Arabidopsis thaliana: one gene and its partner. The protein of the gene in region 1 interacts with the protein of each later gene in a pairwise test. Each region holds a gene or a part of one and is shown in the gene's direction. Other genes may lie near its edges.

Region 1 (7,596 bases):
TGCAATTCCAAAAGCTAGACCAATGCCTACACTAAAAAACCAGAACAACATAAGCGGAGAAAAGAAGACAGCGACATACAATACTACTAACAAAGGAAAATAATCCATACGCTCCGAATGAGTTTTGGACAAGAAATTTGATTATGGAACCCCAATCAGAGTTATGCCCCATCACCATCTTGAAGAATAATTGAAAAACCACAACCGATACCCTGAATAATCCAAACAACTAAGCTTGATCATATATGACATAACATCACCTTGATGCTAAACATAAGAGTTTGACATGGTTACCCATCGTTCATGAGAGATTCCCCATCAATTAACGTGGTCATCTTCTTACTAGCACCAAGCTCCTTTAGCAAAGCAACAACAGCCACGGGGTCGGTAGCTCCTAAAAGTCCTCCAAGCAACAATGATGTTTTCCAGTCCCAGTTATATGGAAAAGTAAGCTACAAGAGCATAACTCGAAAAAATTGTTAAGTTAATTGAAGCTCACTTAATCACAGTCGAAAATGTTGAAGCTAGTTAAAGTACCTTTATAAGAGCTCCGAGACAAAAGGTGGAAATCAGAACTCCAGGTCCAGCAAGCAGAACCATTTGTCCCATACATCTCTACCAATGATGTAAAACAATCAATACCAGGAACCAACACAGCCAAGGAAGTAGCTCAATCAGGAAAGTAAAAACCTTGATCTGGTGCACATCCATGGAGAATGAGCTCTCGAAAAGAAGAACAGGGAGAAAAACAGCCAAAAGTAGGTCAGGGTTGATACCATTCCCTGTAAAGTTGCCATTTTTTAGAGCTCGTAATCTAACAGTATGGAGAAGAGAAAATACAGTAGCTTACAGATACGAATTCCATGGCCGAGCTTCCCAAGGTTATGCTTAGTTCCATATTCTACAGAAGCAAAAAAATCCAAAATTTAACTACTTTCTAAAATCTTCCACGAAATTGAAACTGAGCTATAAAGCTTAATGAGCAAACAAATAAGACCTAGGGATCCGAGAAAAATGCCGATGACGAGAAGAACGACGGTGTACGGAACTCTAGTGCCGTTAAACAAATATCTACAAGCGGTGCCGAGAACCAGCGAAGTTCCCGCGAAAATAACAGCATCAACAGGACTCGAATCGTTCTCAGCTGAATACGAAGAAGATGCAATTGCTTTCTCCGGTGATTTGTACGGCAACGCCGCGCCGATTATACTCGTCATCTCCGGTAGAAAGAAGCAAACGATCAATCTTTCGTTTTGCCAGTGATTACGGTCAAAGATGCTTTTACCGAACCGAATCTGCTTCGTTTAAGAGTGAACCAAGATTGAATCTAGTCTGGTTTGGCTTGACCTGTTTTATTTCGGTTACGTCTGGTTTTCTATCACTAATTTGAACGAAAATTTGAGAAATCTTAATACGTTTTTGATTAGGTTTCTGTTTTCTTTGCTAGATATGAATGTAGTTACTGGATTATACTACTCTGTTCAAATGAAGGGTACATATATTTACATGAACCAAATTATGAAATAACAAAACCGACTCACTCTAGTCTCTAAACTTAACTAGTGTCACTTTTGTTTGTTTGTTTTGATCCATACTTCAATGTATCTTGTTCAAATTGTTTGATTTTATTTTTGGTATAAGTGGCTACATTGTAATTTCTTGCTGATTCAATCTATAAATCGAAAACCTTAAATTATCCATGCCTCAAAACGATGCACGTTGTGTATAAATGAGAATTTTAAATTGTTTAGTTTCTATAATTGCTGTCATGACGTGAGATCATGCAAAGCAATTACGTACGATAACGCACGTAAAGGAAAAATGATTATCAGATTCATATATTTTTTTTTTCAAAAACTTGGTCTCGTGTAACATCATTCGTCATTCTTCATATTCACTATACTATAACCACAAAAGATATTAAAAAAATAGTCACTCCACTCCACATCTAATACAAAGAAGTAATAATTTAACTATTCAAAATTTATGAAGTGTTAATACGATAAGATTTTCGACCCAAGGAAAAAAAACACTATAAGATACATAGGTTTGGCAGAACAATTAGTTCGCTCACTGCCTACATATTCTTTTTTTGGTTTAATTAGCCTACATATGGGAAAATGATTTGTATTTTGTTAAATGCCACTCACATTTGTTATAAATAATTAGTCTTGGTTTCAAAAGCCATATATTTATGAATTTATAGACATTGATATTTATTTTTATGGTTGGAAATGGTATAAAGTATTATTGACTATAGTTTTTTTATGTATTTTTCTTATGAAATAAAGTGAGAAAATAATAAAAATATTAAAATTTGTGTAGCTGACTCGAGTTTGATTGAAGTCTTTGGTATATAAATATTGTCGTTATTTCCTCCATTTTTCTCCCTCTTCTCCCAAATAAAAAAAGTTACTCAGATCTCACGATTTGAGCAGAATACGCAATGAGGACACCGACGACGATTCTCCTTCTTGTCGGAGCTATCCTCTTCTCCGGCGCCGGCTATGTCAGATCCGACGCCTCCGACCACCGTTACAAGGAAGGAGACACCGTTCCTCTCTACGCCAACAAGGTCGGCCCATTTCACAATCCAAGGTAAACGGAAACATCTATTCTAGATCTGAGCTTCAGATCTGAGGTTGTTTCCCATTCTTAAGCCTGAGGATGATAAATTGATCGTTTATTGTTGAATCTGTTGCTATTGAATTGAGTAACGACATTGATAACTGAGTACACTGCAAAATGCGTAATGTTAAAACCAAAGAGTGAAAGAAGAAACTACATTTGGAATGTTTTTCGTTTATGTGATGGATCTGTCTTAGATTTGAATACTATTATATGACTGATTTTGGTTTTGTTCAATGATGATTGCAGTGAGACGTATCGATATTTTGATCTTCCCTTCTGTATCCCAGGTATGCTTATATCTTTACTAGCTTAATCACACGATTTGTGTTTAAGCCGCAACTGATTTGTGTGACATCTCCTGATTCGATCATCCCATTATTGAATATGGTTTATAGAGGGTGTGAAAGAGAAGAAGGAAGCTCTTGGCGAGGTTCTAAACGGGGATCGGCTAGTTAGCGCTCCATACAAGCTCAACTTCAGAGATGAAAAAGAGTCTGAGGTATACTGCAACAAGAAGTTGAGTAAAGAAGAGGTCAAACAGTTCAGAAAAGCTGTTGAGAAGGACTACTACTTCCAGATGTACTATGATGATCTACCTATCTGGGGATTCATTGGAAAGGTTGACAAGGATATCAAATCTGATCCGAGTGAATTCAAATATTTCTTGTACAAGCACATTCAGTTTGAGATTCTATACAATAAGGACCGTGTGATCGAGATCAGTGCTAGAATGGATCCTCATTCGCTTGTGGATCTCACTGAGGATAAGGAAGTTGATGCAGAGTTTATGTACACTGTGAAGTGGAAGGAAACTGAGACTCCTTTTGAGAAAAGAATGGAGAAGTACTCTATGTCTTCTTCTCTTCCACATCATTTGGAAATCCACTGGTTCTCCATTATTAACTCCTGTGTCACTGTCCTTCTTTTGACTGGATTCCTTGCAACTATCTTGATGCGAGTCCTCAAGAACGATTTCATGAAGTAAGTTTCAAGTTTCCTCACTGTCGACTGTTTTACACTTGTCTATCTCATCTAACCTTATTCCAATGCTTAAAAGGTATGCTCAAGATGAGGAAGCTGCTGATGATCAAGAGGAAACTGGATGGAAGTACATTCATGGCGATGTGTTTCGGTTCCCTACTCACAATTCTTTATTTGCTGCATCGCTCGGTAGTGGCACTCAATTGTTCACGCTGTAAGTCTCTCATAACTCGAATACTTTCCATCTGGATACACTTTCATCCATATCCGCATTTCTTCTTACTGTAACTAACTGTAGCTTTTCCTTTTATTCCATGTCATCAGCACCATATTTATTTTCATGCTTGCTCTTGTTGGAGTGTTCTACCCATACAACCGAGGAGCACTCTTTACCGCTTTGGTGGTCATTTACGCTCTCACTTCTGGAATTGCCGGATACACATCTGCCTCTTTCTACTGTCAACTTGAAGGAAAAAGCTGGGTAAATATTTACACATGATGAGAATCATCCCTGTCTCTCAAAAAATCATCTTCAACTGAAATAAACAACTTCTCCCTTTTTTGACATTATTGCAGGTGAGGAACTTGTTACTCACTGGATGTCTCTTCTGTGGCCCATTATTCCTAACCTTTTGCTTCCTTAACACCGTAGCCATCACCTACACTGCAACCGCTGCATTACCCTTTGGAACCATTGTGGTGATCGTCCTTATATGGACTCTAGTTACCTCACCTTTACTCGTTTTGGGTGGTATCGCGGGTAAAAACAGCAAAGCAGAGTTCCAAGCACCATGCCGTACAACCAAATATCCTCGTGAGATTCCACCACTCCCTTGGTACAGAAGTGCTATTCCTCAGATGGCCATGGCTGGTTTTCTTCCTTTCAGTGCCATCTACATCGAGCTTTACTACATTTTCGCTAGTGTCTGGGGTCACCGGATCTACACCATCTACAGCATCTTATTCATCGTTTTCATCATTCTCATCATCGTCACTGCTTTTATAACCGTTGCCTTGACTTACTTCCAACTCGCTGCTGAAGATCACCAATGGTGGTGGAGGTTCGTTAAACTCAGCTAATCGTCTCTATTCTTTTCTCTCTGACCATGAGAACTTGAGTCTGATTCTACAAATTTCTATTGCAGATCATTCCTATGTGGTGGATCGACCGGTTTGTTTATCTACGCATACTGCTTATACTATTACTACGCACGATCAGACATGTCGGGTTTTATGCAAACCTCGTTTTTCTTCGGATACATGGCTTGCATTTGCTACGGATTCTTCTTAATGCTCGGAACAGTTGGCTTCCGCGCAGCCCTCCTCTTTGTCCGTCACATTTACCGGTCGATCAAATGCGAGTAAGAAGGTCTGTACACCAATCTTCTTATGTTGATTTCCTTCTTCTTCTTCTGCCTTCTTACGAATTTTGCTTAGAACAAAGAAGATAAAGAGATAGGTTGTTAGAAAGAAGAGAGACACAAAGACAATGTCTGATTATTTTCTAAAGAAGCATCTCTTCTCATTAGAGGTTTTAGCGAGAGTCTCTCTTCTTCTCTCTTTATTTTGGGCTACAGAAATTAAATTACTTGTATCCTTTCTATATATTTTACCTATTGTAAAAGACTATCAATACCTTTGAATTCGAGTTTCTTTGTATCTAATAAATTTCAAAACACACATATTTTCTCCTTCATATATATCTTCAGTCTATACTGCACAATAAAAATAATAATTTGAAGATGTAACTAAATAAATATTGGAGAGCTAAATTGAAGTAAATTGCATATTTTTGTACTTGTTTGGATCCAATTGAAAGATCCAAGGTTGATACCACCGACATACAAGGACATAGTGTTAGCTCTTTAATGGGCCAAAATCTCGGCCCAACTATAAATGGTTTCATTGACCAATAATTAGTGCCACTGATTTCAATTTTGAAATTCGAATCCTCCTCCTTTGGAATTCAGAAACCCTAGAGTTCTTCAGCGAGCGAACTCTGTCTGCGATTTCTTGTTGATTCTAAATGGATCTCTCGCGAGAAGTCGATGACTTTATCAAAGAGACAATCGATCACTCTTTAGGGCTTCCGATATCCATGGACGTTCTCCAGAAAAAGCTCTACACGGCGGAAGAATCTCAGCGTCGTCTCCGTGAACAGTATCTATCTCTGGTTTCGAGATTGAAAGAGAAAGAAAAAGTAATCGATCTCGTTAGATCCGAAGCGAGTATGAATGCCCAGTCGCTGAAGAAATTCGTCGAAGAGAATCAGAAATTGGGAAGCGAGCGCGAGGATTTGGTGAATCAGTGTAAGAAGTGGGAAAAAGAATGCTTTCTTTATCATCAAGATCGTGAATCACTCATGGAGTTCGGGAACGAAACTGACGAAAGGGCTAGAGAAGCAGAATCTAGGGTTCGTGAATTGGAGGAAGAAGTTAGAAAAATGTCTGATGAAATCAAGAGCCGGATCGAATCTGAAGAAGATTGTTTGGTTGATTCAATATTGGCATCGTTCGTTAGTAAAGATGAGAGTATATCATTGGGGCGTATCTTCTTGGAGGCTAATAGTGAAGAAGACAAATGTTGTGAAACTTTGTTGAGGAAATGGGATCAGTTAAAGCCAACGACGCAAAAGTTTGTGTCTTTAGTGTCAATGGTGAAGAGAATTGAAAAGGAGAAAGAATGTCTCATTATGAATCTTGCTAAAGCAGAGCAAGAAGTTGAACTTGTGAGCGAGCAAAACAGAGAGCTGGATAGAGAAAACCGCAAGTTTTTGAGGCAATGTTCTGCAGAGAGAAGCCATGGATCTAACAAGTTCAACAAGAGAAAGAGTATCAAGATGATGAGTAGTCCGATTGAGAAGAGGATTGAATTGAGCAGCCAAGAATTTATCGATTGATGAAGTTTAGATCCAATGCTGATGAGTGGTTTTGTTTGAATCTCTTTTGGTAATTATTATGAATATGAATGAGCAGTTCTGGCTATTGTTTAGATTGGTAGAGAAAACAGTAATGGAATGTTTGTGAGGGACAAGCTCTGACTATAAGCACAATGCAATATGTATAAAATATGAGACTTGGAACATTCTCTCTCACATTGGAAACACTGAATTTTAAAAATTATACATTTCCATAATGGTCTACCTCTACCACTAGTATAATTCATTTGACCATTAGTGTGCTAACCAATGTGGTTGTGTTTTTACCATCTGTTTTGTACAATATAAGTCTCTAATTGGCTTCTTCATCATCTTCTTTGTTTCCAAGAAATCTCTTTAGGCTTTAAAAAAGATGTCTAAAAGACTAAAAAGAGTGGGCTTTGGTTTTTGTCTTCTTCTCAAATGGCTTTCTTAATCAGTTTGTGATCGTTCACTTACCAAACGTAAAAAAGGTAAAGTCTTCATAGAAAGCCCTTTAGATATTTTTATATTATTGTGAGAAGAAGATATTTTCTTTTTTTAAAATAGAACAATTTTTTAGGGTTGTCTCTTCCGAGTCGGGGACTTAAAATAAAAACGCTGTCTTTCCCTATCTTTGAGATCTCTCTCTCTTCTTGTGTTTTTTTTTTCTTATCTTCTTTCTCATAAAAAGTCTCTCTCCTCTCTCTTCCTTGCGTCTTCTCTTTCCCCAATCTCTCTCAGGTTTCTCTTTCCTCTCTCACCAGAAGGGCAAAAAAATTCCCTTAAAGAGTCCCCCGTTTTTGTTTAACCCCCTCTTCTCTCATGTAAGTTTTCTCTCTCCTAATCCATTTCCCATCTTAACTAACATCATCTCTCTCCCTTTCTCTTTCTCCAATTTCTATATTACAATGGGTCCTTTTTGTGTGTACTGTACCTCGCTTTTCTCCATTTCTTAGTATTGGGTTTTGGAAACCATTGATTCATGTCTTGTTTCATTAGATCTTGCTCTGGATTTCCCAGATCTATGGATCTGCATGTGGGTTTTGGTCAAAAATGTCTAATGGTGTTGCAATTCCCTAAAGGAA
Region 2 (7,129 bases), about 18 Mb from region 1:
AACCCATTGATCAGTGAACTATAAGTGAAAATATCAGGATCTATAGACCTTTTGATCATCTCGTCGTACAATTTCTCAGCCTCTACAAGCTTCCCCTCCTTCACAAATGCATCAATCAATGCGCTGAAAGTGACTACATTTGGATTGATTTTCCTCTCAATCATATCACTGAGTAGTCGAGAAGCATCACTCCATCTTCCGTAATTACAAAGGCATCTTATGAGGGAGTTGTAGGTAACAACATTTGGTCTAATTCCTTTGTTATCCATTTCAGTGAACAGATTGAGTGCATCATTCACGTTTTTGTAGTTGCAAAGAGCATCAATGATAGTGTTGTAGATCACAACACCAGGCTCTATTTTCCCTTGTTCCATCTTCTTTAACAAACTCAAAGCCAAATCAATATCACCTCTCTTACATAATCCATTTACTACAATACCATAAGTAACCAGATCTGGTTGACAACCTTTCACAACCATCCGGTCAACTAAAGCCACTGCTTCTGAAGCTCTGTTGTGGCGAAAAAGTCCATGAATTAGAGTGTTGAATGTGAATGAATCGGGCTGATATCCCATTTCCACCATCTGACCAACAAGAGATACGGCATCTGAAATCCTATTCCCGTGACAGAAACCATTGAGCAGAGAGTTAAGCGTGACAATATCGGGCTCATAGCCGAGTTTCATCATCTTGGCAAGAACAGCTAAAGCAAGAGAGAGCTGAGAGCGTCGGCAGAAACAGTTGATGAGAATACTGTATGTGTAAAGATTATGTGAAATTCCCAAATTTTGCATCTGCTCGCCGAGAGAGATGACAAGATCGAACTTGTTCATCTTAGCAATGGCACTCAACAGTTTACTGAACTCAACAATCGAAGGGAAAGGACGAGACTTGACCATGTCACCGAACAGATTAACCGCATCATCTAGCTTCAAATCATTTAGCCTATTTATCGATATTTTTCTGTAATCATATCTAACACCAGAGAAATCTCGTACCCAGAAACTGCAATGGCTAAAGGAAGGAGGAGCAGTTCCACATTTACCTTTTCCGAGAAGACTCCGATGAACAAATCTGTTTCCCGTCGATGAAATCGCAAACAATCTCCTCATCTTCAGCTGATTGGGGTTTCTTCCAAAATCACTGATTCAGAATCGTAAACTCTCTGTAAACTTGTATAAACCCTAAATGATGAACCTTTTGCAGACAGAGAGAGTAAAGGTTTGAACTTTTGGTTCTACCAAACCAAACAGAGAGAGAGACTCACATAGGCTGAGAGAGTGAGAGTGATATTCATCCAGTTTCGCACCACCGTTGGATCATTTGACCGGTCAAGATTTCATCTTATCATTTTTATCACCGGTTTGGTTTATAATCACATAATGTATTTTTTTTTGGTTTAGTTCTAAATTGAAAGGCCAGCATTAGCAAATAAATATGAAAAAAACAAAGAAGATTATCAAGTTTTGCTATTTTGGTTCCATATTTGTCTAACTATATTTCCTTCATTTTTTTTTTTATTGCTGAGATGTCCCTTTCTAATTAAGGTGAAACCGCGTGGACCTTACCAATTTATATCTTGGATTGTAAAGATCTATATCTGTTTGGTTCCACTTGTATATGATACAATGATACAATACAAGTTTGGTCATTATCATTTTTTCTAATCATATGTCAACAAAACCAAAGTATGCATTCATTTTGCAAAATATACACATCTATTTGTATCACCTCCCAAACATTTCTCCCATTATACGGACTTGGACAAGTATTCATACCTCTGCAAAAGTCTTATTGATAAATGAATGTGAAAGTACATACAATTGGTTTAGAACATTAAACACGAGTTTGGTTTGGACACATGGCTTTCATATACTCCTTAGTGATAAATTATGGTTAATTATAACCATCTTTGAAGTTTATTCTAATATTTTATTTATTAATTTCATTGATATGGTTTCAAACGTCAAGGAATATTAAACCTTTTACGAAAAAATTTCGGGTGGATCATATAATATCTTCCCTTCAATCCTCAAAGTTCTCGAACTCTACCAATACCTACAAGGCTACAAAAATTTATACACCATTGAAATATGCTGCAACGAAGTCCATTTAAGGCCTGATGATAAATTCCTTGGAGATCGACAATAATATCCAAGCGATTGTTAGTGAGATTATAGAGTTAGTCTTTGTTGGATTCAATAGTTTGTTCCACAATGTAAAAGTCGACTATTCTAAAGAAGCCCTTGGCAACTTATTAAATCTTATAAATAGTTAAATATCGAGACCGTAGAACCTTTTGCTATATATAGTTTTTCGTCAGAAAAAAAAAGTCTTCATGCTAGAGAAAAAAAAGTTTAACTTATAAATACCATGCTATAATTAAAACAAAATAACACGTACTACAAATAGTACTAGCTTATATTTTCTCTCTTTTTTAATAATTAATTTTCTAAAAAAATACATATCTTAAGAAAATATTATTAAAATTAATTATGAATATATTATTTTTTGTGTTTTATATTTTTTTATAATTAAAAATCAATAATATTTAATTATTTATCTTGAAATTTGATATTCATCAATAATATCTAATTAATATTGCAAAAAAATCTAGAAATCCATCTTTTAAAAACACTTTTTTGTATAAAAAAAAATAAAAAAATAAAACCCTTTTTGTAAAAAATTCAATTAAGAAAAAATAAAAGGAGTATATGTTTTATCTTCTCTTTTTACTTTAACAAAATACCTTGTTTTTTTGTTGTTTTCAAGTTATATATTTTGTAATCTTGTCGCAGGTCTGAGTTGTTTTTTGCACTCAGAAAAGAAACTTGTACTAAAACCTAGGAGAGGAGGAGCTGGCACCACCGCCTAACTCGCCATTGACACAACACCAAAAACTCTTCTTTACTTTTTGTTATTCTACACACATCGATAAAGATTAAGAACATAATTAATAGAATTCCATAAATAATTAGATGCACTAACTTTTCAACATCAATTCAACGGTTTAAATTCGTGAAAAAGCGTTTTTATTTTATTTTAATGGTTACAACTTTGTAGTTTTTACCCTAAATCTCTCTCTGATTACTGATACTCTGTCTCAATCTCTTCTTTCTTCTAATCCTTTATTTCTTGTAAGCTACTTCTCCTGAATTTCGTATTTGATCCGTTTAATCCAAGTTTCGATTTTATATAACAACCACATAGACAGAGAGAGAGAGAGAGAGAAACAGAGTAATGGCGAACAGAGATGTGGAGAGAGTAGGGAAGAAAAACAGAGGAGCTAATAACAATTATTTCTACGAGGAGTCTTCTGGTGAAACTCATTGGACTTCATGGCTGATTCCGGCGATTGTAGTGGCAAATCTCGCTGTCTTTATCGCTGTTATGTTCGTTAATGATTGTCCTAAGAAAATCACCGGACCTAACAAAGAGTGTGTTGCTAGATTCCTCGGAAGATTCTCGTTTCAACCACTTAAAGAGAATCCTCTCTTTGGTCCTTCTTCTTCAACGTAAGTATTACTTTAAAGTTGGAGATTCATGTTTCATCTTCTGGGTATCTCCAAAGTCTCAAACTTTTTGGGAGTCCAATTCGCAATTGAATTTGATCACTATTGTCTGTTCTTATGGAAATTGAGCTCAAAGTTTTCATTTTTCTGCAGTAATTAAGATTACCCAATTAGTGCCTTACTGATAACGTCAATGAATTTGTAGTTGAAGCTCGAGATTCTAGAATTTGTTAATCTAAGTTACTGGCAAACAAGTTTGATCTTTTGGGTACCTAAAACGTCTCAATTTTTTTTGTTTTCAACAAACTGAAAAAGTCTCAATTTTTGTGTTTTCAACTTGGCAATTGAATTTGATCTTTATTGTCTGTTAGTGGCTTGGAACATGAGCTCAAACTTGTAGGGTTTCTCAAAGTTTTTATTTTTCTCCTGGAATTATGTATTTAGCTTGGTTTGGAATTATGATTTGTAAATTTCATTGGCAATTATTGTAGTGATGGTGTTTGTGATTGATTTGGTTTTACTCGGATATGTACTTGTATCAGATTGGAGAAAATGGGAGCATTGGAATGGAGGAAAGTAGTACATGAACATCAAGGATGGAGACTTCTCTCTTGTATGTGGCTTCACGCTGGTATCATTCATCTTCTTACAAACATGTTGAGTTTGATCTTCATTGGTATCCGCCTTGAGCAGCAATTTGGCTTCAGTAAGTCTTACCTTTACGTGTACAAGAATTATTGTTCAGTCAAGTTTTAGACTCTCTTTGTTTAATCGCCAAGTGAAACATTTGATCTTTATCGCGGGAATGTTACTGTGCAGTAAGAGTCGGGTTGATATACTTAATATCGGGTCTCGGTGGAAGCATACTTTCGTCGCTTTTCCTTCAAGAAAGTATCTCTGTTGGTGCTTCGGGTGCTCTCTTTGGACTTCTTGGAGCAATGTTATCTGAACTTCTTACCAATTGGACTATCTATGCCAACAAGGTACTTATGCCCTTTTCGCTATACGCGCCTTAACCGGAACTTAGGATTAACGGCTTCTTTTGGCAGGCGGCTGCTCTGATCACACTTCTGTTCATCATCGCAATCAACTTAGCATTAGGCATGCTTCCTCGGGTTGACAACTTTGCACACATTGGAGGGTTTTTAACCGGATTCTGCCTCGGGTTTGTCCTCCTTGTCCGACCTCAGTACGGTTGGGAAGCTTCCCGCACCAACACTTCGCGAACCAAACGAAAGTATAGCATGTACCAGTACGTGCTGTTTGTAGTTTCAGTGGTGCTACTTGTGGTTGGGCTAACGGTTGCATTAGTGATGCTTTTCAAAGGAGAGAATGGGAACAAACATTGCAAATGGTGTCATTACCTTAGCTGTTTCCCAACTTCTAAATGGACCTGCTAATCATCATCATCATCATCATAATCATATAGTAAAAGCTTTTATATGTGTTCTTGTTAACATTTAATCTCTTTGATCTCTCTAGCCTTTGATTATTTATATATGTGTACATTACCAAATTCGTCTTGTGTAAAAGGGGATAGAAATAAAAGAGTGTATTATTTTTACATTTGAACACCATATTTCTCAAACTGTCTTTAAGTACATAAATAGTAAACAATTTTATTAATGTAAAACATAAGCTGTAATTGGAAATAAATTCCTTTAATTTGGTTATAGTACACACTTTATAGTATCCATCTTAGGTCTTGTAGATTATTATTCTTCCTTTGCTTCAAATTCTTCTTTCTCTAGATCTCTTTCTTCTTGAGTTTAACATGATAGCCATTTGGAAATTGCAATCCAGGAGTTCGAAGTATATTTCCTCCACTAGTTTCTTCCCATCTGATGAAATCCAAGAAACAAAATTACAAAATCAAGAACCATTAGTTGTCTTAACTTAACAGATGAAAAAGGAGTAGTTTCAAACTGTATTTTGTGACTGAGCTATGAAGGAAAACTGCAGTTTGAAGTTTGAACTTTGCTGAAGTCAGCTCCGATACACAACCGCATTCCATCACCAAACGCCATGAAATTCCATCACCACACGCCATCAATACAATATATAATACCAAGATATGCAATCATGCATACATCAGCTTCATGCAATATATGCATAATTTTTAGGAGATTTCAGATGTCACAAGATCGAATTGAACATATATTTTCAACAGTGTGAAATACAGTTATACGGTTAGGGTCTGATTTTTGTTTTTGGTACCACGTGGGTTTTACAAGTTTTTATGATATTACAAATAAATTAATAATGCATCACACTTCATTTATTGTGAATGGGTGACTTTTAAGAAAACAATGACCAAACACCACCCAATAACCTTCCTGCACTGTGTCATTTAGGCCTTAATGGTGCAGTGGATAAGGATAAAGTACGGGACATAGACAATGCCTTTAATCATCCACCATTCACAAATGATAATACCTTGTATACATGCGATGTAACTTCAAATATAGGGATGATTGTGTGCTTTGCGGATCAAAACAAGAACTTTAAAACCTCTCGGTAAAAAGTACAAATTAATGGTTACTCTAAACGGAAAGGCACAGGAGATTTGTTATTTATATGATGTTCTCAAACAAAGAAAAGCTACTCACACAAATCACATGTTGCCAACTTTAAGCTAAAGACCCAACTCTTTTCTTTACGTGTAACAGAAAAGTGGCGCAATGACCTTCAATGGCTTAGCTCTTGACTTCTCGATGGTTTGAGTTTGATCTCTTCAGCGCCCTGTCATGGTTTAGCATTGCGCTTACGCTCTCAACCACGAAAACGATCTGTAAAGAAAAGCAGAAACCCGTATGCGGGTTTTAGTCAAGATAACCCAAAACTACAACATTCTTTGATCAATAACTGATGATCTCATCATCCTCTGCTTGATATCATCAAATTTTGTACTATATGAGTATCAACTCCCAACTACTGAATAGAATAATGAATTTTGAAATGGATCCAGGCCTATATTTTACCTGAAAGCACGCGTAGCCGATAGCGTTTCCAAAGTAGAAATTTGCATTTCCGGTTCCCTGTCATGAAAAAATCAAAGGTAGTTGTGATCATTAGAACATTTTGTTGCAACTGCTGTGAAGAGTTGGGTTATGGATTTGAGTAGAAGCTTACCCGCCATATCCAGAGATTGTGCATCACAGGGCTGAGGAGAGAGATCCCGAGATATCCACAGAAGAGGAAGAACGAGAACTTCATATCTATGTGAAACAGAAGCAGAGTTTATATGCAAAGGCTAAACAATGCTAAGAGGATGTGAAGTATTTGCTTTTACCTAATAACTCATTGACAAACAATGCCCATAAGCTCAAGTATAACGCCGAATCTCCGACCTATTGAGAGTAAATCAAATGATGAAAGCATTGTTAACATTTATGAATATAATTCCTCAAAGAAGAAAAGATAACTTCAAGTTCACAGTGAATTCAACTACTTACTGAAGGATAAGATTTAAGAATCGAGGAGATCGCTAAGTATATGAAAGCCAGGAAACATGGCCGATGTTTCAACCTTATGGCTAAGGGCAGTAACATGAACAGAATATTTACGTGTAAAACTATCAGAAAAAAGTTTCTGAAGAAGTCGAATACTTCTGCAAA

Evidence for each region.
Region 2: the proteins of AT1G14670 (region 1) and RBL2 interact in a protein complementation assay, tested with the Arabidopsis thaliana proteins (one large-scale study listed by BioGRID).

What each region holds. Positions count from the first base shown.
Region 1 is NC_003070.9:5,035,223-5,042,818, forward strand, and holds AT1G14670 (Endomembrane protein 70 protein family), read left to right. Parts: upstream 1-2,353; 5' UTR 2,354-2,446; coding exon 2,447-2,598; intron 2,599-2,877; coding exon 2,878-2,918; intron 2,919-3,026; coding exon 3,027-3,612; intron 3,613-3,688; coding exon 3,689-3,826; intron 3,827-3,936; coding exon 3,937-4,093; intron 4,094-4,188; coding exon 4,189-4,673; intron 4,674-4,757; coding exon 4,758-4,977; 3' UTR 4,978-5,375; downstream 5,376-7,596. Other genes in the region: NHX8 (Na+/H+ exchanger 8), read right to left, coding at 1-31, 111-212, 295-452, 538-615, 691-782, 851-901, 998-1,217; AT1G14680 (early endosome antigen), read left to right, coding at 5,639-6,511.
Region 2 is NC_003070.9:23,406,837-23,413,965, reverse strand, and holds RBL2 (RHOMBOID-like 2), read left to right. Parts: upstream 1-2,826; 5' UTR 2,827-3,240; coding exon 3,241-3,515; intron 3,516-4,054; coding exon 4,055-4,218; intron 4,219-4,331; coding exon 4,332-4,495; intron 4,496-4,561; coding exon 4,562-4,912; 3' UTR 4,913-5,162; downstream 5,163-7,129. Other genes in the region: AT1G63130 (Tetratricopeptide repeat (TPR)-like superfamily protein), read right to left, coding at 1-1,112; AT1G63110 (GPI transamidase subunit PIG-U), read right to left, coding at 6,209-6,301, 6,494-6,550, 6,645-6,730, 6,805-6,862, 6,968-7,129. UniProt on the Arabidopsis thaliana protein: Rhomboid-type serine protease that catalyzes intramembrane proteolysis. Can cleave the Drosophila proteins Spitz and Keren. May function in pollen elongation.